Linked DNA regions of Medicago truncatula. The main gene of each other region encodes a partner of the protein of the gene in region 2 in a complex. Links are inferred from orthologs where the notes say so. Each region holds a gene or a part of one and is shown on either strand. Other genes may lie near its edges.

Region 1 (9,058 bases), about 23 Mb from region 2:
GTCTAGTTCTTGAAAAGATGATTAACTTCCAAATCAACTGAAATAAAGTAGATCTTAGATGATGTGCTGTGTAGAGAAATTTTCTAGAAAAATTAGTCTATGATACATGATTTTATCGAATTCTTCCACCTTTGAGACATGTTTTTTGTATTTGTTTTCCATATTCATCTTTGCTATGTTCTATAAGCAATAACATCATTCATAGTTAGGGCTCTGAGGAATGCATAGGTCAGAAAGCTTCATGGGAAATGAAAGGTTGCTATCATGTGTTTCACCATATTTCCAAAGTAGTGTTGATATTTTAGGATATGGACTGTGACATGAGCATCACAAATTTATATTCATCTTTGAAATGTTATTTTATTTTATGTTTTGTATTGTTGATTCATGGTATGTGAACTCATCTTTGTTTATCTCTAATAACCTTATAATCAAGAAAACAGAGAAAATGTTTTTTCACTTAGTAGACAGTTGGGAAATCGCGAATCCGTAACTAGCCAACTTGTTCTTTTATTTTTATTTTGTCATGTATCTTATCATTACGTCTATCCATGTCACTATTTCTTTTTATTTTGTCATGTATATTTAATTATTTTTAGATTTGAATACATGGACATTATATGGATTCATATGATTGGTAAATGATTTTTAGTTTGGAAATGATTTTGATGATTTTTTAGATAAATTTTATGACTACTAACATCATGTTGGATTTATTAAAATCCCACATCGGACACAAGACAACATAACACTATATTTATAATTGTTTAAACTGTCTTTATAAGCTTAGGAGAATGTAAGGGCAATAAATTAACTGTTTCTAACATCTCTCGATTTATTGTCTCCAACAATCTCCTTTTCCATTTATTAACTTCTCTGTATCCGACATTTTTTGGATTATAAAATTTGAATAGTCTTTGATCAAATACAACTCACATTTCAAATTATATATTCATCATAACTCACGGTTTTGATTATATATTCCTTTTAAAATCACTTCATTTTGATCCTCTATAAGAAAAAGAGAAAAACGAAAACACCACAACAACAACGGAAGCTAAAGCAAGAACACCAAAACCCCACTGATCAACCCCCCAACGAGAAACCATGGAGGCCAAAAGGAGGGAAAGCTCAACATGGGCGGTCGAGAACTAGAGGCCAACCACACAAGACACTCCCTATTTCCCTTTCTAAGTACTTCACTTATAAAAAATGTAAAGGTCTCATATTGTTTAACACTCTCACTCAAGGAATTACAAGCATAAAACACAAATGTCAACTTTCTATATTTTAGATGCCAATAAAGAAATAAAGGCACCAAGAACAAATATGATCAAATTACTTTTGTTAGTTTTCCATATTCATCTTTGTTATGTTCTATTTGTGGATTGGAGAAACTTTTGTTTTTCATTTATTTACTAGGTCTATGAGGTTGCTAAAGAAGTCTTCATGGGAAATGAAAGGTTGCCATCATGTGTTTCACCATATTTCCAAACTAGTGTTGATATTTTAGGATGTGGTGAGTGACATATTTATATTTATCTTTGAATTGTTATTTTTATTTTCCTTTTTGTATTCTTCATTTACTGATTCATATAATTAGCTTGTTATATTGTCATGTATCTTTATTTGGCCGAACCTTACTAATCAGACAGACCAGAGCATGACCCTAATTATTTTTAGACTAGAATACACGGACATTATAGGGATTCATATATATAATTTGTTTCATTTTATTCAATATACAAATGATTTTGATGACGTTTGAGACAAATTTCATGTCTGAAAGTAACTACTATATATCATGTTCGATTTATTAAAGTCTCACATCGATCACAATACAACATATCATTATATTTATAATTGTCTCATATGTCAATTTTAAGTGTGAGGCATGTGTAAGGGAAATAAATTATCACAATTTATTTCCCTCAACTGTGTCTTCATTTTGGTCTGCGTATACATAGTTTCATTTTATAGACCTCTATATTGGATGAGAATTTCTTTTTCCGACCTATTAACTTCTCGTGCGCCTTCAAAATTGATTATTTTACCACTGTTAGAACAACCTCTTCAAGTGAATAAGAAATAAGAATTTGAGAAAATGTAAAACAATTGTCACCTAAAACTTATGTTAAGTAGTTTATGTGAAATTGTGAACCTATTGTTAAGAACTTGAAAATATTTAATTCCATCACTAACACTATAACATGCTACAGTGTTGCAGTTTTGTTCATTTTAAGATTTTGGATTCAAAATATATGTTCAAAATTGAAATCTTGAAACTGTGGAATGTTGGCACTAATGCATTATATACATGGCTTCTACAAATTTCATTAAACAAATAATTATATGTTGAACGTAATTTGAAAGAAATACAAAATACTTTAAAAGTTGTATTTATCTTTGAATTGTTATTTTGATTTTGTTTTTTGTAGTGTTGATTAACTAGAATGTGAACTCTTCTTTGTTTATTATCTCTAATAACCTTATAATCAAGAAAAAGGAGAAATTGTTTTTTCAATTAGTAGACAGTTGAGAAATCACGAACTGGTAAATAGTCAAATTGTTCCACAGTGAAGGTTCGTAAACGGTCTTTGGCTGGCTATGTATCAATTTGGAAGCAACCTGCAAAGAGTTGGATTTATTAAAGTCTATCAATGTCTCTCCTTTACTATTTCTTTTTATTTTATCATGTATCTTTTATTATTTTTAGAATAGAATACACCAACGTCATAGGGATTCATATAATTGGGACAAATGATTTTTTAGACAAATTTTATGACAAAAGTAACTACGAACATCATGTTGGGTTTATTAAAGTTCCGTATTGGACACAATACAACATAATACTATGTTTATAATCGAGGTGAAATGTCTTATAAATTATGATGAAAGTGGAGGGGATTAAATTGATTGTCTCTAAGATTTCTCAATTTTGATCCAGCCAAGCAACCTTTTATGATTTTTGCTTGAAGTGCGTACGGGGGACAAATTGGGTTTTTGATCGAATTTTAAATTTTAAAGGATATTTATTTTAGGAATTTTTATTAAATTATGTTAAGAATTTTGTATAGATTTTGCTAAGAATTTATTATTAATGATAAAAAGAAAATAGTAGTAATTTTCGAAAATGTGAATGAATTAGGCGTAATGTCTAGGATCAAAATCCAAGGCGTTACAATTTTGATGATGTTTGAGACAAATTTCATGACAGAAAGTAATTACTGCATATCATGTTGGTTTTATTTAAGGCCCACATCGGACACAATACAACAAAACATTATGTTTATATTAGTCTGAAATGTAAATTAGAAATGGAAGAGATAGATGTGTATGGACATAGATTGTCTCTTAAGCGTCTCAATTTATGTCATATATCATCATTCTTCCATTTTAAACGTTTTAAACCTCTAAAGAGAAGAGAAGAACTGTGTTTATGTTCGTGCACTCTTCAAATTGACCATTTTATCTCCTTTTGAGAATAGAAATTATTTTCTTTTTGCACGTCCTTCAAATTGATCATTTTGTTTTTGTTTAGATTTTATAAACCAAAGTGTAATTGAAATTTTTCGGATATTAAAATCTGAACATGTGTTTAGACAGCTTTGATCAAATTCAACTCACATTGTGTTGCGGATATATTGAAAAGTCAAATTATATATTCATCACAACTCGTAATTCAAATTATGCTTCAGCATCGGTTTGGTAAGTACAAAAACAAATATTTTGCATTTGAAGGGAGTAATGTTAATACAATACAATTTTCACTATGGAGTTTTTGCCAAATAATTTATTCTTGCCTTCAAGCTATGGAGTTTGTGGTCCGTGTTCATAATGTTTATATTATGACGAGGATATTGGGATTACTCGAGTACATGTCATAAATAATGGAAAATGATTGGTAGACCACTCATATTTCCATACCACTCATACACCCCCACATATTCTAGAGGAGAGAGATGGATGAAAGAGAAGAGAGACAAAGTGTTTGTGGGGTCTAGGACACGTGTCACATGTTTATGTGGAGGTTTAAGTGTGTATACCACCTATGGATGTACATGTATCACCACTTTAAATAATTAAGGAATTTGTTGTATTGTGGATGATAAGTAAGCAACTATTGAAGATTTCATTTGTCACACCTTATTATGATGCATAATCATTGACATTTCTATATTTTGATAAGAAAAAATAAGGACACACACTCTAATGACTATGACGCAGCACTCAGTTTGAAGAATAGTTGGGGAAATATGCAACGTATTCATGTATTTGATAATGGGAGTTTGACTAGCCAAGATTTAACTAAGGGACTAATTAAGTTCTCTCAATATACTTTTGCTGCAAGGTACATATTGGTTTTTGGGTCTTTGTAATGAGTTTAAGGTGCCACTGTCTCTCAATACCTCGTTGACAATCACAAGGTATTTACTTTATAGTCCCTCCGTTCTTTGTCTCAAAATATAAATAAAAAAGACAAACTTTTATCCTATTTAATCTTATTTTTTTTAAAAAAAACTATTTTTCAAGAAAAACTTTTGTTTATTCTCATAAAATTAAATGCAAATTATATTCAATTTTCTCTCTCTTTCATTTTTTCCATAATCAATAACCAATGAAAATTGTTTTTACATTTTCCTATAAAACTTTTTTCAAAGAAAGCACAAAATTATACTCTAAAAAACTTTTTGCTTATAATTTGGAACGGAGGGAGTATAAGATATGATGATTAAATTGTAACATTTTCTCTTATTTTTTTCAAAATTGAGTTTTTTTTCCAAAGAGAAACTCGGTATCTACTACACCCTAATTACTTTAAAAAAAAGTTGGACCCTTTGGATATTTATTGTTACTGCATGTCCAACTATTGAATGGTTATGGCCCTTGGCAAGTTGCTAATGATGGGCATGCCCCTGCTTGTCCCACTAGACTAGAGTGAAGGTGACCGCAATTGCAATTGGTCTCCTTAATGGAAGGTCGATTCTTTTTTTTCTTTCACTCAACCCTCTAATTCTTGGAAGAAGGTAGTTTGAAAATCTGAGCTGAAACGTAAGTAAAAGTTAATAAAAATTATATTAAATATTATTTTCAATCTTGAAATTATCCTTAACATCCGTCTTCATCCATCTGAACTTGATTCTTGTAATTATAATTTATATGGAATTTTTTTTCCATTGGTCCTACCTTGTATTTAAATTGTAAACAATTTGGTGAGTGGTCAATTTACAATAGGTCTCTCTCTCTCTCTCAATTCAGAACTTTGCTAGTTTTCAATAGTACACACACGTGATAGTAATCGATTTGGAGTTATCTTTAACTTGTTGATTCAATCATTTGAATGCACACCATCTTCGTCCTCAAGTCCTTTTGGGGAACTTTTATTGCTTTAATAAAAAAAAAGTGTTGCTTACAAGTTACAACTACATGATGTATTATTATAATGTTGTAAATTGTGATTTGGTGATTGCATGATATATATCAAGTAAGATTATTTGCGAAATGGTCAATTATTGACATTAATACATCCAGTTCTATTGAGTTTATATCAATCAAGAGACGAGACTCATATTATATTGAGCTCACACAAGAGGATGATATTGATGATCCATTTTAGAATAATGAGAATTCTAATTGATTATCACCTTATATATATATATATATATATATATATATATATATATATATATATATATATATATATATATAAGGTGATAAGAAGAGAGATGCATAAGAAGTATCATTTGAGAAAGAATTCATGCATTTCAAATATCTAATTGAGTAAATTTTTTAATTGAAGTTAAACTAACCTATCTAAATTAACTTCAGGAAGAATCAAACTGTATCAAACCAACTCAAATGAATTTCAAATATCTAATATATTTGATAAATCAACATATTGTATATCACAAGGTAGTTTATAATCATAATCTTTGTATTCAATATGTCTTGTATTGATTAACTAACTATTAAACCATGCTTATATACGGGATAAAGAGCATATTTTATTAGTTACCAAAATGGAAAGAAAAGAAAATGTCAAATTGTCTTTAGACCGGGGGACGAGACTCGTACATTGCATTTTAGTAGTATTCCTTTGTCCGTGAGTGTGAAGCACGTCTTTTTTTACTACTTTTTTAATACAAAGTGTCTTTCGTTTCGCAAACCCTAGTATAAAAATTGATAGTCAAATATAATAAATATTACATTAAAATTTGTGTTGTCAACTCTTTAAAAATATAAAAAGTGTTATTTTCATTTTAAAATTTCATATTTTTAATTTTCTTAACTAGTATCCCGAGAACACCGGTTAACATGACGCATCAAAATTAGGCTTGGCAGCTATTTCTTCATGCGAATCTTGCATTTTGTCAGCTAATCATTTAGAAATAAACTTTTGTTTTCCATTTGTTGATTTCATAATCTGTAACCCACACTCAGAACTACGATGAATAAAAAATGTTACTAAATACTTCAACAATAAACTAATTCTGTTGGTTTACGATGCAAAATGAATATTTGATCAATGTCAATTTGTTTATAATAGATGAATCAAAACAATCAATTTTGTGTGTGTTAACCCTCCAATTTTTAAAGGAATATTGCCTTAATGATAGGTTAGGAGATAAATAAAGTCTCAGCAATCATTTTTCACCTAAAAATCAATTTGGATTTTCCCCAGCGATAATAACCAATTTTTTTTTTTGTGGTGGCTGGAGTTCGAATGATAATAACTAATTTATATTTTTTGTGGTGGCCGAAGTTTGAACCCCTACCTTACAGATATTATGCATAGTCTTTATCAATAGAGCTAAGCTCACGAGGACATAATAACTAAAATTAAATTCAATTATCCATTAAACATAAAAATTGTACTACTCATTCATTATACCATCTTTTCAATGGATGCACATCTATTCAGAACGTATAATTATATCAAAAATAAAAATTTGTATTATTTAAAAGGTACTTTTGTTCGTTATTATTTAAAAAGGACTTTCGTTCATTGTTTAGAAAGTAGAAACTATTTAAATTTTAAATTAATGAAAATTATCTATTAGCTTTAGCTCAGTGGTACTCCCTCCGTTTTAAAATATAAGCAAATTTTACTTTTTAACTTCATTCCATTAATGATGTATGAGGTTTATATTATGAACCACATGAACCACATAGATCATTAATTGAATGAACCTTAAAAATAAATTTTGCTTATATTTTGAAACGGAAGGAGTAGAAATTTGCCTTGCGATATCAAAATACTTAATTTGAATCATCTCATGATTTCTTTGAGTCTTACAAGTATGATGTCCCTTGAACCTCTCATTTGAGACATTATTTCTTTGTTTCATCTTTCTTATCAAAATCCTCCAACCATGTTTTTTTTTCCTCTTTCTTTTCAAGTGAGTTAAGATCCTCTCCATTTAAATTTTTATCTATTTCTACCATTTAGAGAGATATAGACACAAATTCTTAAAAATAATTAATGATAGTCAGACTTATTTAATGATATGACCCACCACCTACTTTATGTGTCTATATCTCTCCAAATTGTAAAAATGGAGAAAAATTTAAATGAAGAGGATCTCAACCCTTTTAAATCACTAGAGCCTTTATTAGGATTCCTCTTCCTCCTTTTAAGTTTTAATACAATAGTTTTTGTTTGTTTTTCACTTTTTCGTCACAGACGAAGTAAGTTATACACACATAATAAGAGGTTCAAATCTACGACACTTCAAAAGAAATTAAATCTAACAATATTGATGTAATTTATAGTGGTTGATCTTACAAATGTTGCTTGTTTTTTATTTACATACAACAAAGTAAAATCATAGTAAGAAATTAGGTTGTAAATACGATGATATGTGTAACTTCCGTGAAAGAAAACCGTGATTTGATTCTTCTTCTTGTTTTTTAATTACAAGGGAGGTTATTAGGCTAAATTACAAACGAATACGTCGATTAAAATAGACATTGGCTATATCCTGTCGTAAAAGGTTAAGATAACTCGGCAATGGAGGTCCAAATAGTAAGTACACGTAGGTATTAAAAAGGCATAACTCGAAAATCAATCAGCTACTTTGGTTTGTCTGCCTAAAAATATAAGAAACGCTAATATGTTAATCCTTCATTATAAGACGATTAATGAGTGAGACAAACATATACTTTGGCAAAGTGGTAAAGAGGTTGTCATCGATAGACCAAGGCATCTGTTTGATCCCTTGTGCGGACATCTTAAATTTTAATTTGGATCAATTAGTTTAATTTCTTCAAAGAAAAAAGAGAGTGACAATAGAAAAGTAAGGATGTGTGTGTCGAGGGACATCCTTTGTTAACCAAAGATATCGTAATAGTTGAGTCAAATTCAAGAGAAAATGTTGCGCGTATCTTTTTTTTTTAGACATACGAAATGACAAAATTATTATAAATTCACACATAAGTGAAGTTTTTAAATTCGAACCCTAATCATAATGTTCCGCTTAATAATTTCGATATTTTTATACCATAAAAAGTGTAAGAAAATAAAAAAAGTTATCTTTTTCTCTTCTCCCTCATATTTTATTTTTAATAATAAAATTTCTGGCTCGAAAGTCCAAAACATCCCAGCGTCAGATCAGACTCAGACACAAAACTTGATAAGAACGAACAACGATAACCGTTTTCTTCTTCTTCTTCTTCTTCTTCTTTGCAACACTTTCACTTCTCAACAAACTCTCTCTCTCTCTCTCTCACAATTCTCGTTGTCGTTTACTCTTCTTCCTTCATCTACATTGCAAGTAAACGACAACAATATGGGAAACGCTAACGGAAGAGAAGACGGAGCTATTCCCGACGCCGGCGATCCTTCCGGTCGTGAACCTCACGCGCCACCTCCTATTCGTGCTTTTTCTTCCGATTCAATGGCAAATAGTCCGCCTCAAAGTCCTCGTCGTTCCAGATCGCCGATCCTCTTCGGTCCTCAGGTTCGCTTTCTATTTCGTTCTTTCATTTTACGCTTTTCTGAATTTTTTGTTATACAATAATGTTAGTTGTTATTTTCGTTCGTTAATCGTTACTGTTG
Region 2 (8,243 bases):
TTCCGTTTTTGCTTATGTATGGTAAAATTAAGGAACTTCTATATTGTTTTTTGAATGAGCTTTGTATAGTACATTTTGTAAATGATTTCTTTTATACTTTTAATTTACTGCTAACAAGTAGCAACTGATATGACTGTCCATCAATTTGCTTTTATGTAATTTAGTTGTCTTTGCTTGAACACAGGTGTTTTCACTATCTGTGGATGAAATGGGAAATCTAATTAATCTTGGTGCAAGGGAGTCTTGTGAAATTTTTCACGATCCTTTTATGGGAAGAAGGTAGTTTTTGTGCTCTACCCTTTCTAATTATTTTACTGAATGATAGAGCATAACAGATTGAAAGTTTCTGATCTTTGCGTGTTTTTTCTTGTTATAAAAATAGACTTTCCTTCTCAAATAGGAAGGGATTTGGTGGTGTCTTCAAATATGCAATTGTCACGGGCCTGCTTTTATTGTGTTATTTGAGTTTATCTACTAGCACTTGTGAAACTGTTTGAGAGAGGTCATGGAAATAACTTATGATATGTCCATAAGACCATAAGCTGTTTTCAGCTTATTTACTTAAGCTCTTCAGGATAGTTAATGAAAATAGCTTATAGCTTCTATGAAAACAATTTAACTATTTTATCTTTTCTTGTAGAAATAGCTTATACATAAGCACTTATACATGATAAGCTTTTATGCTATAAACACTTAATTAGGCTGTTTATCCAAACAGGGCCCATATATGCAGATTCATACGCATTATAATTGTTAGTGAAATGCTATAATCTTTCCTGTTTTAAAAAAAAAATAATGCTTACTAACCGAATAGTTAAAAGTATTCAATGTCTTTGCCAAGATTTAATGTTAGCATGACAGTTTATAATTTTAAAGAATTTGGAAAAGGCTAACATATGTTAAGGAACTTAATATGTAAATTTTGTATTTGAAATTGCCAATTTATTTCTCAAAGAGTTGAAACTTAATTTTTTTCAATAAATATTTATTGTGGAATCCTTAACATGTAAGGGCACATGTTAGCATGACCCTTTATAATTTTACAAAATTTGAGAAATTGTCTTGTTATGCAGTGATGAAGGTAAAGTGAGAAAAGTTTTAAAGGTGGAGCCACTTCACGACGGTTCCGGTCACATGTTTAAACTAAGTAATGCTCTTCATAAACTGCTGTTAATATATATACTTCCCTTCCATCGGGAAATTGTTAATATATACTCTTGGATCGATTCTTTCCACCCTGCACTAATATAACTTCAATTCTGACATTGTTTTGTCAATTTTCGAAGGTGTCCAAAACCAGCTCAAGAACATCGATGAGAACATATTTATCCCTGTCACAAAAGCGGAATTTGCAGTTTTCAATTCACTTTTCAGTGTATGATCTCTCTCTCTCTCTCTCTCTCTCTCTCTCCCTCTCTACCCTTGGTCACCCCCTACCTTTGTTTTGATTCAAGTGTGTCGTAATTTTATCCCACTAAAATTCTAGTGTAGATATCACCTTACTTATTTAGAGACCAGCTTATTTTAGAAAAGCTTTTTTTAAGCAGAAATGACTTTTTGTTATTATATACCATAGAAGATGCAATCAAATCTATTTCATGTAGTTAATTTTCTTGCAAAATAGTAGCTTCTCTAAACATTCTATCAAGAAAATACTTGTCTAGCTAAATTAGGAATATGCCTTTTGCATAAAAAGTGTGGGGAAATCTTCAAGGTTTATAGAATTTCTGCTTTTGTCTAATACAATTCATAATTAGGAACTCCTGATTATGTTTAATCAACGTTGTAAAATATGTGGCCATACATATAGTTTTTTTACTCAAAAATTAAATTAAAATAATAAAATTGGCTTCGCCCGGACTCGAACCGGAGACCTTCAGTGTGTTAGACTGACGTGATAACCAACTACACCACGAAACCTGTTGTTCCTAAATGTAGTTTTTAGGAGTATATTTTGTAACTATCAGTAATCATTGTATGCTCTGGTGAATCTATATTTATTCATCAAAGCCAATCTTCCGCGAATGGACCCTCGACAATATGTTTTTTGCATGAGTAATTGCATATTGCTCTTTATGCACTCAACTTGATTAATATTGTAAATTTTGTTGATTTTCTATGCAGTTTATCATGCCATATCTCTTAGGTTGGAATGCCTTTGCCGACTCCATAAAGCCAGAAGTAAATATTGCAAACCCAAGAAGAAGAGAAGAAGACTTTGAATGGAACAGATAGGGTGATCTGCAGTATTAATGACCATAGAAAGTTACAATACACCATCTTGTATGATCTTATTAACTTTAGAATGTGTTAAATTAAATCACCTCATTTTGAGAAGTATCATTATTGGTGCACATTTTTTAATTCAATTGTTTATATAATCACTTTTATAAAATGAAATAAAAGTGTCTTTAGTTTTAACAATTTTTACTTAAATTGAAAACCGGAGTGAATGTAACTGTTTAATTTTATTTTAACCTACAAACAAGATGGATGATACTTATTAAGTGGCAAATTGCTGCAAACACAAATGATGACATATAAGATTTAAACGAGTCTGAATATTTAATATATTCTGTGCTAATCATTTTGTTCCCTTTCAATTTTAACTGAACTTACACTCTTAACTTCTTAATTGATAAATAAACGGTTACTGTATTATTGTACATAAGCATAAATGATTTGGTTCAATATTTACAAAGATCATAGAGATTGAAGCTCAGAATGAGTGGTTACCATTCATGCACACAATGCTTTATTGTTCAGACTAATTATAGTCTTAATGAAATTAAATTATTTGAACACTTAAAACATTTCGAAGAAATTGTTCCATTCAGAAGCAGAAATAACCAATTCTGCATGTTGTGAGTTTACATTGTCTTATGGTAACATCCTTCTAAAAATAATCACTAAAGAAAAGGAGGAAACATTAATTAATCAGCTTTTACATCAAACATGTCCAACAAAATAATAAGTGGCTATGCTTGCATGATATGAACATAAAGTTCTATAGAAGCAAGCAATTGTACCACCATTATGAGATGTTTGGCTTGAGATATCTAAATGCTACATTTCATAAGTTACTATGACCATCTCATTTTGAAGTAGTAGTTGATTTGACTTTCATTTTAAGGGCTGGAATCAAAGCTAGGCTTCTCAATAATAGTAGAAGGTCATTTCAAACTATTAATAGTTTAATGTAGACCTCCAGGAAACAAAAAAAAAAATGCAGGCCATACAAAACATGTGCGAATAAGATGAAATGAAAAAGAAAAAAATGCAGGCCATTTCAAATTATACTGATCTAGAATCAAGAAATCTAAATATCTAATAAATGGGAATAACATAACAATTTCTCAAACTAGAGATTCAATCAGACATTAATTAACAATGATCCATGAAGTCACCAATGATTAGAACAAGTACGAAATAAATAACATATTTGGAAATTAAGTTGCAATCGAGTCTAAAGTTCAAGTCAAATAGAAACACATCTACATCTTTAAATTAGAAACAAGGTGATATCAAACTTTCAGAGACTACCGGGCCAATCTCACTATTGATGGGTCGAATCTTTGAAATCTAAAGAGTGCCCCGTTTGAAATTATAAACAACCAAATTCCTTTTTGCCCTACATCCCAACAATAATTGATCATCCTTAAAAATACATATCACCTTGTTATAGCATAAAACAGTGGCGGAGCCATAAATTTTGTAGAGCCTTGGCAAAATATTTTGCCAAATATTTTTAGAATACATATTAAATAGTTTTAAGATATTATTATTAATACAATAGAAAAAAAAAATTAAAAAAAAGTACCATGGATCAAACACACGCCCTTTGAGAGTTAGGGAGCTCGCCAATCCACTACAACATCAATGTAACATATGATAAATTATGGATAATATGATAATTATAGGTAACTTGAGGGCTGCAGTGGCTCCTATGAATCTTCTAGGAGATCCGTCATAGAGCCCGGGTGTGCCCAGACTAGCTGAGTGGTAAAACCGCCCCTGCATTATCTGATGTTTGACTGATGAAGGAGTGTGGAAATGAAGCGTGTTGGACTAAATCATTTAATTTTCAATTTGCTAAAAAAAATTGGCTTAAACCATTTTTTTTTTTTTAAATAGGTCTATAAACTAAAAAATGTGTGCCTAAACCAATATGATCTTTGTAATAAGATGCGTTTGTTTTGTTACAGTCTTTGGTCGGAACTAATTATGAAAAAATTGTATTAGTACATGATTTGATTACAAATTTTTTAGTTTAACAATCTATATAAAACTTTCTAAATAGTTTAGAGACATGCGGTGTAATGTGTGTGGGAGAGGGAAGAATGAATAATAGAGAAAAAACAAACTATTTGCATTAGAATTCAACAAGTGGTACAAAGAGCCTTTGACACGAGTCATATAACAACACATGGCACTGCTAGAATTTCTCAAAGGCCATTGAGAAAACAAACATAACCACTTCTCCATAATAGATCACAGATATTTAACTTTAATTTGTGTCTGAATCCATTGCCATTCTCAACGTGATAGGTACGTCAACCTCTCAAATCACTTGTCTATTCTTCATGCATTACAATTTCAAAGCATTGCACTATAAGTTTACAATTGCACCATGTTTGTTCATTGTTTTTTGAGGTTGACATTGTTTATGTTATCTTATTATGATTATGATAAACAATTTCTTCACCAAATTTTGTGTTTCAATGATACACATTTGGCCATACCAATCAAACATTAGAATATGAGGAAATAATAGGTATGACCCATGATTAATGTAATAACTAATAAACAATATAAGAGATGAGCAAGTAATATTGATCACTAGCTCATTCATTTATAGGATCAACGTGATAAAATATTGTGACATGAGTATAATCTTGCAACCTAATAAAATGTAATTCATAGCCTTGCCATACAAGTCATTTAGATTTTCAGTCACTTTGGATTCATCTTCATATTTGAGGAAAAAAAATCCTTTGGAATGATAAAGATCTGAGAGAATAATGAACCTGAATGATACTAGCATTTTTTAAATCTGTACATTTTAAATGAAGTGTTTGGTTGTGTTGTGTGTAGTCACAGTTATTTGGATATATTCGCCTGAAAGTGAGTTGATTTCAGGCTAAAAATCACGTTTGAAAGCAAAAGCTTCAAATTTCAAGTTAGAGTTCATTGCAGAAGCAAAAACAAGTCAACTCTAGAACACTCAATCATGTCAAAATTAAATTTTTAATTTTAGAATCACTATAGTCTCTCACAAAAATGAAATCAAAAGTACGCTAAATAGACAAGGTATAGATATTTCTTCTGCTACAGTTCTGCAATTTCATGAAAACCATTGAAACCTGAATTAATAAAAATGTCTTCAGTTCAAAACATGGCACATGAACAAGAGGTCAGAACAAGCACCCAACTTTCAAAATGTGACCGCTACTTCGAAACCATACAATCAAGAAAGAAGCTACCACAAACATTGCAGGAGACATTGACAGATTCATTTGCAAAGATTCCTGTTTCTTCTTTTCCCGGAGTTCCTGGAGGAAAAGGTAAGGGCTGTTAACCATATATAAATGCATTTCAAAGATATCACCTTATGCATTTAATTTGAATCACTACTTTGGCAGTGGTTGAAATTCTAGCAGACACACCTGTTGGTGAAGCTGTTAAGATTCTATCTGAAAGCAACATATTGGCAGCACCAGTTAAGGACCCCGATGCAGGAATTGGCTCAGATTGGAGAGACAGGTACCTTGGCATCATAGATTATTCAGCTATAATTCTCTGGGTGATGGAGAGTGCAGAACTTGCTGCAGTTGCTCTATCAGCTGGTACAGCAACAGCTGCCGGAGTTGGCGCGGGAACTGTCGGTGCTTTGGGAGCAATAGCATTAGGAGCTACAGGTCCTGCTGCAATTGCTGGGCTAACTGCTGCTGCAGTAGGTGCAGCAGTGGTAGGTGGTGTTGCTGCAGATAAAACCATGGCTAAAGATGCTCCGCAAGCTGCAAATAACCTCGGCGAGGACTTTTACAAAGTAATACTGCAAGAAGAACCCTTCAAGTCAACAACGGTAGGCAAACAATGGTTCTACTGTAAACTGTCAGTTTTTTTTTTTTTTTTTTGAGCTTATTGCACTTTTGTTTTAAGCTTTTTTCTTCCTTGGTTGAGAAGAAATCTTTGAAATAAAATATCTCTCCCTAAGAGAGGAGACCATTTCTAGCTGAGACAGGCTGGTTAGCTATTCATTTGGCTTTTGTTGTGTTGATAGTCAATCATATGTATTTCATCGAAAAATTATAGTTGTGTTCCTGCACAATAGAATTGAGAAATGTTTTTTGTTATGTATAGTTCTATAAATTGTGGTCCGCAACTGCAATTGTGGCCGCAATATAACAGTTTTAGAGGTCTCTAAATGACATCACAACCGCAATTGCAGCCGCATTTTACCGCATTACAAAAGTTCACTGGGTAACTGTGACAACAATTTAAAACCATTGTGTGCATAAATTGAGCTAGTTATAGTGTAGCAAAAATTTTGCTTAACCTTCACATAAAAAATAAAAGAGAGATATATGTCGAGTTTTGGTTTCAGGTGCGATCAATACTTAAATCATACCGATGGGCACCCTTTGTTCCTGTTGCAAAAAATAGTGCTATGTTGACTGTCTTGCTGTTGCTCTCAAAGTATAGGCTGAGGAATGTACCAGTGATAGAACCCGGTAAAGCAGACATAGTAAACTTCATTACCCAGTCTGCAGTTATCCAAGGTCTTGAAGGATGCAGAGGAAGAGATTGGTTTGATTGCATTGCAGCCAGGCCTATGGCTGACCTTGGACTTCCTTTTATGTCTGCTGATAAGGTAACGATTTGCGTTTAAAACTTTCAGCTTTCCCTCAACTTGGAGATTTAAAAACACCTTATTTCTTCTTGTCCAGGTTATTAGCATCCAGAGTAATGAATTGATTCTTGAAGCTTTTAAGATTATGAGGGATAATCAAATTGGTGGTCTTCCTGTAGTCGAGGGGCCAGCAAAGACAATTGTTGGAAACTTGAGCATAAGAGACATCAGATACTTGCTGCTAAAGCCTGAAATTTTCTCCAATTTTAGGTGAGCCTAAGTAGAAATTGGGAATCCGTGTGGTATGCATCTCTAACAATAATTACGGAAACACGCTAGTCTGTAAAATCTAAAATCAGATACAAAATTGGTTCTGCATTTTCAAAAATAAAACTCTCTTTGGTTCATCTTTGGTTAAAATACAAAAATAAAGATAATCAAACAAATGACTACAACAACAACCAAGTCTTATAACACCAGGTGAGTCGGCTATATGGATCAAACTACGACATAAAATTCTATCATGAATTGTATAAACCATTGACCTCTAAGATTGAGATCAAGTTTAAAAATATCAATCAATCATAAATTGTATATCTAGTCAAGCCATTGACCTCTAAGATCGAGAAAAATATTAATCAGCTACGGTCATAAGATTGACCACTTAATATACATGTGTGTGATTGTTTGTGGGAATATTTAAGGAAAACAATCAATAGCTACAATTATGGCCAATGGTCATCACACAAGCTTGTAACTTGTAAGAGAACTAATTACTCAACTGAAATGTCTTCTTCACCATCCCTGTATTTTGACTTTCAGGAATCTCACTGTGATGGATTTCATGAAGAAAATTGTCTCAGCATCCTATGAATCTGGAAAAGTTACTCGGCCTATAACCTGCAAGCCTGATGCAACTCTGCAGAGCGTGATTCACACTCTTGCTTCACAGTCTATTCACAGGATTTATACAGTAAATGGACAAGATCAAGTAGTTGGTGTCATCACACTGAGAGATGTAATCTCTTGTTTCATCACTGAACCTGATTACCATTTTGACGATTACTACGGATTTGCAGTTAAAGAGATGCTGAATCAGTGATTTACGAGGAAGTTTAAATAGGCAGAAGAAAGAACACTCTAAATGTAACAAACTTTATGTTATCTTAAAGAAAAAATAACATTTCATTTCAAGTTTTTCTATGTAAGCAGTTTTCATGTAACTTCTATCATGCTAATACCAGAGTTTTTGTCCAATCCTTTATCTGTGATCAATCCTCTTATCCTTTCTACTTCACTCCATCTTCCCAATGCAGCATATATGTTAGACAGAACCACCAGTGGAGCTGGATTTTTCGGTTCTATGTCAATAAGTTTCATGGCCATCTCT
Region 3 (8,394 bases), on a different chromosome or scaffold from region 2:
TTACGAGATTATAAATGTTCAAAGGATATTTACAGGCAGCACTCTAATCTTTTAAAACATAAAACAACAGATTCATAATCATAATTCTTCATACAAAATTACATCTGCCATCATTTTCAGAGCCTAATACATGCAAAGAGGAACTCAAAGTAGCTATATAATATAACACAGGCAGGCACTCACAATTACAACTACGACTCAACAGTGGATAACATATCCTTCAGTGCACAAAACAAATCACAAGTTAGCATTTCACTGAACATGATCCACAACAAATTTCAATATTTTAAACAAGTTGTATTGAATGCTAATACAGTAATAACATGGTATATTGATCAAACTCCCAAGCTTCGACATGCATCTTTGTTATTAGTATTACAAATCTGAGCAGTTGAAGATATAAATAACTTGCAAGTTTTGCATCAGATTACCAAACTAATAGAAAGAGAATAAATATCTAACATTAAAACAGGAGAAATCTCAAGAATCTTGATAAGATTCATAATAATAACAAATTACAGATTTCGACGAAACGGTGGTATGTGATGTGAAACAACTTATACTAAGAATCTTAATATCATGTCTTCTATGACCAGTAGCCACAATATCATAAAGAAAATAGACACGGAAGGTTCAACAAACGAGCAATATCATGAATTTAAAGTCTTTATAGTAAAATCAGATTATAATTTCACATCAATTTTGGCGAGATTACACTGTGGACTACCTTCAAACACACTCTAAAACTGACTATAGCCGTCCAACAACATAGACCCATCAAAAGATTCAATTTTCTCACAACAGGAAACCTACAATAAGAATATGGTTGAAGATAATTGCTTTACAGGCCCCCTTGCATTGCTGCAAAATCCCCTCAAAACACACATCGGAAGATAACTTCCGATCATTTCTATGAGCAAAAAAACAAGCCTATTGGAAGATATGTTCTGATAGGTTGAGCAACTCGGAGGGCCTATTCAGCAATTAAAATACAACATTGGCCCAGTGGTACCTAAATCTCCCCTGGTCTCAAAATTCAATTTTTATGGCTGTTATGAGTGAAACTCGAGTCAAACTGCTAAATGATACTACCATAAAAATCCAGCTAAAAAACTACTCCATCATGTCCTAAATACTGCCTCTGGTCCTTCTTATAAGAGACTTGTAGGTCAACAAAAGTTGATGTATTTGGTTCATAATATGGACCAAATACATCGACTTTTATTGAATCGTATGTCTCTTATAAAAAGGACAAGAGGGAGTATAAGAGAAAGTTGGGTTGTGTCAACAAAAGTTGATGTATCAGGTTCAAAATTTGGACCAGATACATCAACTTTCCCTTATATTTTAGACCAGAGGTAGTATATGCAAATCCTCCTAGGCCAACTTAACCTACATAATTTCTTCAATTGCATTCACAAACACAAATCCAAGGCATAGATTACACATTAAAGTAATGGGTGATATCTTTTATTTTGGAAGAAGGGGTGTGATATCTTAGTAATGAACAAAGTTATAAGATTATAAATGTTCAAAGGATATTTACTGGTAATACTCTAATCTTTAAAACATAAAATCACATATTCATAATTCTTCATACAACGGCCACCATTTTCAGAACCTAATAATACATGTAAAGTGGAAGTCAAAGTAGCTATATAATCAGTCACTCACTGTTAGAACTCAACAGAGGATAACATATCCTTCAATGTACAAAACAAATCACAAGTTAGCATTTCACCAAATGTGATCCTCAACAAATTTCAATATTTTTAATATTTGAATTGAATGCTTAATGCTTATATGGTAATAACACAGTACAATGATTAAACTGCCAAACTTCTACATACATCTTCGTTATAAAAAATCTGTGCAGTTGGAAATATAAATAATTTGCAAGTTTTGTATCAGATTACCAAACAGATAGAAGGAGAATAAAGATCTTGCATTAAAACAGGAGAAATCTCAAGAATCTTGATAAAATTCATGATAATCACAAAATATAGGATGAAAGATTCGGAAGAATAATGGCATGTGATATGACACAACCTATATTATGAATCTTATACTATGTCCTGTAAGATCCGATAACCAAGATATCACGAAGAAAAACATGAACCATGAAGGAAAGTAGACACGGATGGATCAAAAAACGACCAATGTCAAGAATCTCAATGTTTTATAGTTAATCAGAGTATAACTTCACGGCAATTTTGATGAGACTACACTATGGACTACTCTTCTACAAACCAACCGTCAAACTGACTACAGCGGTCAAACAACATAGATCCATCAAATGACTCAATTTTCTCACAACAGCAAACCTACAACAAGAATAAGATTGAAATACAATGCTGGCCCAGTGGTACCTAAATCCACCCCTGGCATTGTAGTCAGGATCGAGTGCTGGTTACGGCACCTCAATCGTGCTTCGACTTTACTCGGGTTAATTTTTCTTTTGTTTTCATCTGTTTGCTCTGTTTTTTCTCTGCTGCCTCTGTTTTTACTCTATTTTCTGTTTTTTTGCTTGTTTCCTCTGTTTTTCCTCTATTTTCCGTTTTTTCTCTCAACTCTATCAAAAACCTACCAATCCTACTTACGGACCGTGCTATGACCCTCGTGTTTACGATCTTTTACGAGCCTACCGATTCCACTTAAAAACTTGAACCTGACTACATTGCCCCCTGGTCTCAACATTCAATTTTTCTCACGGGCCATTATTATTGAAACTCAAGTCAAACTGATAAATAATGCTACCATAAAAATCCAGCTAAAAAACTACGTTGAGTCAACAAAAATTGTTGTATCTGGTTCAAATTTGGACTAGATACATCGATTTTTGTTGATTCAACTTTCTTTTATATTTAAGACCGGAGATAGTATATGCAAATCTTCCTAGGACAAGTTAACCTAGATAATTGTTTGAGTTGCATTCACAAACACAAATCAAAGGCACATACCAAACATACACAATCCCTCATCAAATGAAATACAATGACAACACCCACATAACAAGAACCTCAAAAACAAACTACACATACCAATTGAAATTGCTCCTAAGCAGAAACAAAAACTAAAACCAATAAATCCCAAAACCCTTTTACACTGAATTTGGGGGCATGCAGGTATAAACAAAATGCAATAACATAAAACACAATTTCTAACCGATTAATAACAATTCAACACAAAAATGAAGAAAAAAAACTTACCTTGACTTGAGTTATCTTGCTTAAGATTTCGATAGTGACCGAACCAAAACACAGAAGGGAGAAAGTGATCGACGATGGAAAGTGCTGAGCTGCAAATGGAAAGAAAAAGTGATTATGAAGCGTTGATTTTGAAGCAATGAAGCAAAAAAAAAAAAAAAACATTTACGAAGAAAACGAACCCTAACTAAGAGTGCATCGTATTCTGTGAAGAAGAAGAAGACAAGCAGAGCACGCAACGCAAAGTTGGCTTTTAAAGGTCGTCAAAGACTCAAATGTGGCTGTTACAACTTACGAACCTTTTTCCAACAAAGACAGATGTCATGTTACTACCCGAATATAATAACATTTTTTTTAAAGCTTAATTGCACTTTTGGATCCTATAAGTTGCGATTATGGACCCCTAACTAATTTAAATACAAAATAACCCACTATGTTTTGATTCTTTGACAGTTTTGAACCCCCAGTCCATTGTTGACTCGATCAACGCTGACGTGACACCCTAAGTGAGGTGCCACGTGTCATTTTTTTTATTTTTTTTTTTGCCTTGGGGGCCAAAACTGTCAAAGAATCAAAACATAGGGGGCTGTTTTGTATTTAAATTAGTTAGGGGTCCATAACCGCAACTTTTGAAAAGATAGGGGTCCAAAAATACAATTAAGCCTTTTTTTAATGCTAACTTGTGCGTTAAGGCACAAGTTCATGATTCAAATATAAAAATTATTTATTGAAATGTGTGTATTGTATTTAATTTTTAACTTTTTAATGAATTAAATGCACAAAATTTTATACAATATTTCTTCTTTTGTGTTTCTTAACATGTGCCCAAAAAGCACATGTTAACACTATATTTTTTTTTTATATACCAAAATATATAAAAACATTTTAACCTGATTATACTCTCTCCGTCACATCTTAAGTGAGTCTTTTGTTAATTTCACACATATTAAAAAAAAAAAATGTTCATGCTAACTTGTCCTCTAAGAGTACAAGTTAAGAAGGTAAATGCACAAGTTAAAAATATAAAATTAAAGTCCCATAAGTCCTAGCTCAATTGGCAAAAATACCGAAATAATTAGAGTGGACGTCATGACCGGGGTTCGAACCCCGGTACCTCCACTTTGTGTTTGTGTGTTTATGATGGCTTTGCAATTTCGTCTATCTACCAAAAAATAAAGATAAAATTTAAAGCTTTCAAAATTAAAAATACACAATTTTTAAGATTTAATTTCTACTTTTGATTTCTTATCCTATGTCATTAGGGCACAAGTTAACATTTCTCTAAGAAAAAATCTATAAGTGAAAAAGAGAGAAAAATAGTTTTGAGTGTTTTGTCAAATATTCGTGCATTCTTCCTTATCATACATGCAAAGTAGCATATATTGAATTGAGAGTGATGAAATTAGAATTGATCAGAGTTATAATTGAAAAAAGTAATTACTATTTTATTGAAAAGTAAAATGAGTCAATTTTTTGGGATAATATTTTTTTTTTGTTGCAAATGACTCATTTATTATGGGACGGAGGGAGTAATATAAATGATTAAGTTGAATAAAGAAAAAGATAATTGACTAAAGCGCTACCTGATTGTAACATAAAAGATTAAAATCGGAAAAAATATATAAGATAAAGGATGAAAATATTACCTGAAATTAAGTTAAGGGACGAATTGTGTAATTTTGCCTAAAATATAAGAAAAAAAGTTATAGTACTTTTATTTAAAAATACATAGACCAATAGGTTGAGGAGAGTTGGACCGAATTTAAGGGAACGAGAGTATTGAAGATATATAGACCTGAAGTCCATAATAAATTTGACTAAAAAAAGATAAGAAAAAATTAAAAGTTATATTATGTTATTATTTAAAAATACATAGTCCAATAGATTGATGAGAGTTGAACTGAATTTAAAAAAGAAGAGAGTATTGAAGATATATAGACCTCAAATTCATGATAAATTTGACTCATATTGAGGCTTATCATGCTAAAAAACTTAATTAAAGGAAAAAAAAGGTTATATGGCTCTTCTTAGGCATTGCACGGCTGACGCTAGGGCATAGGCCGCGAGTGCGACGGCCTAGGGCCCATGCCGGTAGGGGCCCATTTTTTTTTAAGATGGGGTGTATATAGAAATATTTGAGTTATGGGAGGTATATATAGTAAAATTCTTTGAAAAGACCCAAACATTAATATGATAAAGGACTGGGTTCAATGCCGCATTGAACCGGTACAACTTAGTTGCCAACACATATGTTTACCACCAGGCCATCTTTATGGTTCTATATTTGCACCTTATTAGTATATGTTGGATTTTGCCATGTATTATACATATAAAAAAAAATATTTTGGATCCCAAAATTTGATAAGTCGAGCTCGGTTGAATTGTGTTTTTTTTAGAAAAAGAGAAGTATATAATTGTTGTTGTGTATGAACGGATGTCCATTCTATAAGGGAAAATTAAATCTACTCACAAGAGCTTTCACCAAGTTGTTAGTTTAGATTCAACTCATATTTGTCATAAACAAGATTTTTAGCAAAGTTATTTCGGAGGTTGCAGCACAGGCTATAACCACAACACCGAAACATGTAGTAAAATAATCTATAGAGGTTGTAACTGCACAATCAACACAATCTGTTGGAAATATTAAGAGTAAATTAAAATTTGGATGGTTAGGAAAGAAAGAAGAGAGTTTTGTTATGCCGTGGCCAAAATCACTGCCCTGAAAGTAAATTTCCGGTGCAACCCAATATCCGGTTTTGCTCCCCAAAGTTTACATTACTGCATGTCTGAACCCATGCACTCGAGGCCAAACACGATGAACATGATTTTTGTTTTTTGATCACTTCCTCCCCGGCCATAGTTTCCATGCGTCCTTTATATATCTTGCAAGTGGCTAAATGCTTAATCAATTTCTTCATTACCGTTGCCACATTTTCATAGAAAATCAATGATATTAATGGCCATGAAAGCCTAAGAACAACGGTTAGATAAACTCTATAACGGTAAGCATTTAAACCAATTGAGTAAAGGACACTTGATTGTGCAACACATGCTTGCTTATGATCAATAATCATGTTCATCAACCAAAGCAACATTTGATTATTGATACTCACTGAGTTTTTCTATTGTCCTTCCTCCGCTTAACAACTCAGCACTCCCTTACTCTTTATCCTCCATGTTCTCTTTTATCCTATAAACTCTTTATTCCCAGCAATTTTCATCAAATCTCTTCAATATGGACGACCAAGCCTTATTCCACTAAGCGGATTATCAAATCTCTTCATCTCTATTTTTTCTAAAAAAAAAAAATCAAATTGGCTATAACTAAGGAAATTGCTAGAAAACTTACCTGAAACTGTATCACATATTAGCTCCCAATATGGAAAATTGATTGAAACTCAACATCAACCAAAATTGGAAAACCAAACCAAGAAACTCAGATAGAACCTAAAACCTTCATAACTTCTAAAAATCCCACCATCTCTTCTCCAAACACAACCTCAACTCCACTTCTCCTAGCCAAACCAAGTAAAATCAAGTCTTTTAACGAATATAAATCCAAAGATCACCCATAATTCTATTTGAGATTAGAACTGGTAAAAAGATTTCTAAAGTGGACAAAACAATTCACACCATCACAAATAGTGACTCATAAACCAATATCTCATCCCCACCTATTCCTAAAAAACATTCCAAAATCAATTCTACAACCATCTTCAGAACATGCCCTGCTAAGAAATCGTCTAGAAAATCTTCCTCCGCATTGAATGTTAAAAAATCTATTAAAATTTCGTCTTTGAAATCCACCAAACTTCCAAAGGAAATAAGTTTTTTTAAAGTATCTTTTCTGACAAAAATCCGCTCGTGTGCAATCTTAAAGGAGTTGAAATCAAGCTAACCCTATATTATATCTTCCAACTTAAAGGCACACACACTCTATGGATTAAGCTCGTATGTTACCTTGAAGATTTAGAAGAAGCAACTTCTTCAACAAATGTTCAACTTGGAAGGCAAAAACCTATAAGATCCTCCATCCTCAAATATCGCAAAGGAGTACAAACGGTTGTATAATATGTGTTATCACGACATATTTTCAAGGAAGGAAAGCAAAGAAATTTGTTTAATGATAATGACATCATGGTCATGAATCATTTGGCTAATCACATCAAGCTAAAATTGCCTTAAGTGGTACATATTTTCTCTTGTGACTTATATTAATTTTGTGAAAATTGTTGTTTATTAGACTAATTAGATTGCTCACATGCCCCTTAAACATCCCAATATATCCCCTCGGGTCCTTACTCCCGAACCTAGGTAGATCTAACTCCCAATTAGAATGCTTAAGTTCGGGAGTTATGATTCGATACACATTGGTGACATACCTGATTCAAGTTGTAAGACATTTCAAGAGTTACAACCTAATCCAAGGTAGGGTCCCAATCTATACAAAAACTTTATTTATTGCTCTTTATGTTTTGGTCTAGCAGTGATCGAGGACATTATAGATATTCTTAAAATTCTGTCTTACATTATATTTTCATACTTTGTAGTTTCACCATACACATTGTTGGGCGGATTATTCTTGAAGTTTTATAATGTGGATTCAATCACTTATTGTATACAAGCCTCTTTTTTTTTATATTTAGATTCCTGTTTATTAACCGAGTGTATCATGTCAATTTATGATAGAAGATTATAAGAAAAAAATAGGTTATTATGGTTATGCTGAGCTGAGACGGTTGGACTTTGATAATTTTTGTAACCTAAATGCCATGCCACTCCATAACCCAAATGATTTGCTTATTCATTTATTCTTGTCATAGTGGATGTTAACAATGAATTACACTTCGGTCATTATAAGTTTTCTATGATAGTTTTCCATAAATGAGTCCATTTCAAGAGTACAATTTTTCTTGTAAACTTTTTCTTCCAAAACTTATGTGTTTCCCAAGGGTTCTAGTATGGATCGGGAGTTAGGTCCTGATCTTGGATCGGGTTGTAACTCATGAACTGTCTCATAACTTGAATCTGTTGTATTGTTGATATGGATCAGATCGTAACTTTTTAATTTAAACGATCGGGAGTTAGGTCATAATAGGTTCAGGAGTTATGACCTAAGGAATATTTTAGAATTTTTTAGGGGGATATGAGCAATCCAAATCAAATTTATAATTTTGTTAGAAGAGTA

Evidence for each region.
Region 1: SNF1-related protein kinase regulatory subunit gamma-1-like (region 2) and SNF1-related protein kinase regulatory subunit beta-1 share a complex: the UniProt entries of both Arabidopsis thaliana proteins name them as parts of the probable heterotrimeric complex. The link is inferred for Medicago truncatula from reciprocal best matches to the Arabidopsis thaliana genes AT1G69800 and AKINBETA1.
Region 3: SNF1-related protein kinase regulatory subunit gamma-1-like (region 2) and SNF1-related protein kinase regulatory subunit beta-3 share a complex: the UniProt entries of both Arabidopsis thaliana proteins name them as parts of the probable heterotrimeric complex. The link is inferred for Medicago truncatula from reciprocal best matches to the Arabidopsis thaliana genes AT1G69800 and AT2G28060.

Annotation. Positions count from the first base shown.
Region 1 is NC_053046.1:39,459,673-39,468,730, forward strand, and holds the start of SNF1-related protein kinase regulatory subunit beta-1, read left to right. Parts: upstream 1-5,224; 5' UTR 5,225-5,252; intron 5,253-8,586; exon of another isoform or gene 8,587-8,710; 5' UTR 8,711-8,789; coding exon 8,790-8,960; intron 8,961-9,058. UniProt on the Arabidopsis thaliana protein: Regulatory subunit of the probable trimeric SNF1-related protein kinase (SnRK) complex, which may play a role in a signal transduction cascade regulating gene expression and carbohydrate metabolism in higher plants.
Region 2 is NC_053046.1:16,856,237-16,864,479, forward strand, and holds SNF1-related protein kinase regulatory subunit gamma-1-like, read left to right. Parts: upstream 1-4,422; 5' UTR 4,423-4,548; intron 4,549-5,223; exon of another isoform or gene 5,224-5,387; 5' UTR 5,388-5,395; coding exon 5,396-5,564; intron 5,565-5,642; coding exon 5,643-6,085; exon of another isoform or gene 6,086-6,323; intron 6,324-6,607; coding exon 6,608-6,874; exon of another isoform or gene 6,875-6,950; coding exon 6,951-7,123; exon of another isoform or gene 7,124-7,675; coding exon 7,676-7,955; 3' UTR 7,956-8,068; downstream 8,069-8,243. Other genes in the region: single-stranded DNA-binding protein WHY1, chloroplastic, read left to right, coding at 185-279, 1,074-1,147, 1,287-1,375, 2,125-2,235; pentatricopeptide repeat-containing protein At2g02750, read right to left, coding at 8,069-8,243. UniProt on the Arabidopsis thaliana protein: Regulatory subunit of the probable trimeric SNF1-related protein kinase (SnRK) complex, which may play a role in a signal transduction cascade regulating gene expression and carbohydrate metabolism in higher plants.
Region 3 is NC_053043.1:46,812,520-46,820,913, reverse strand, and holds the start of SNF1-related protein kinase regulatory subunit beta-3, read right to left. Parts: upstream 3,525-8,394; 5' UTR 3,389-3,524; intron 3,299-3,388; 5' UTR 3,210-3,298; intron 1-3,209. UniProt on the Arabidopsis thaliana protein: Regulatory subunit of the probable trimeric SNF1-related protein kinase (SnRK) complex, which may play a role in a signal transduction cascade regulating gene expression and carbohydrate metabolism in higher plants.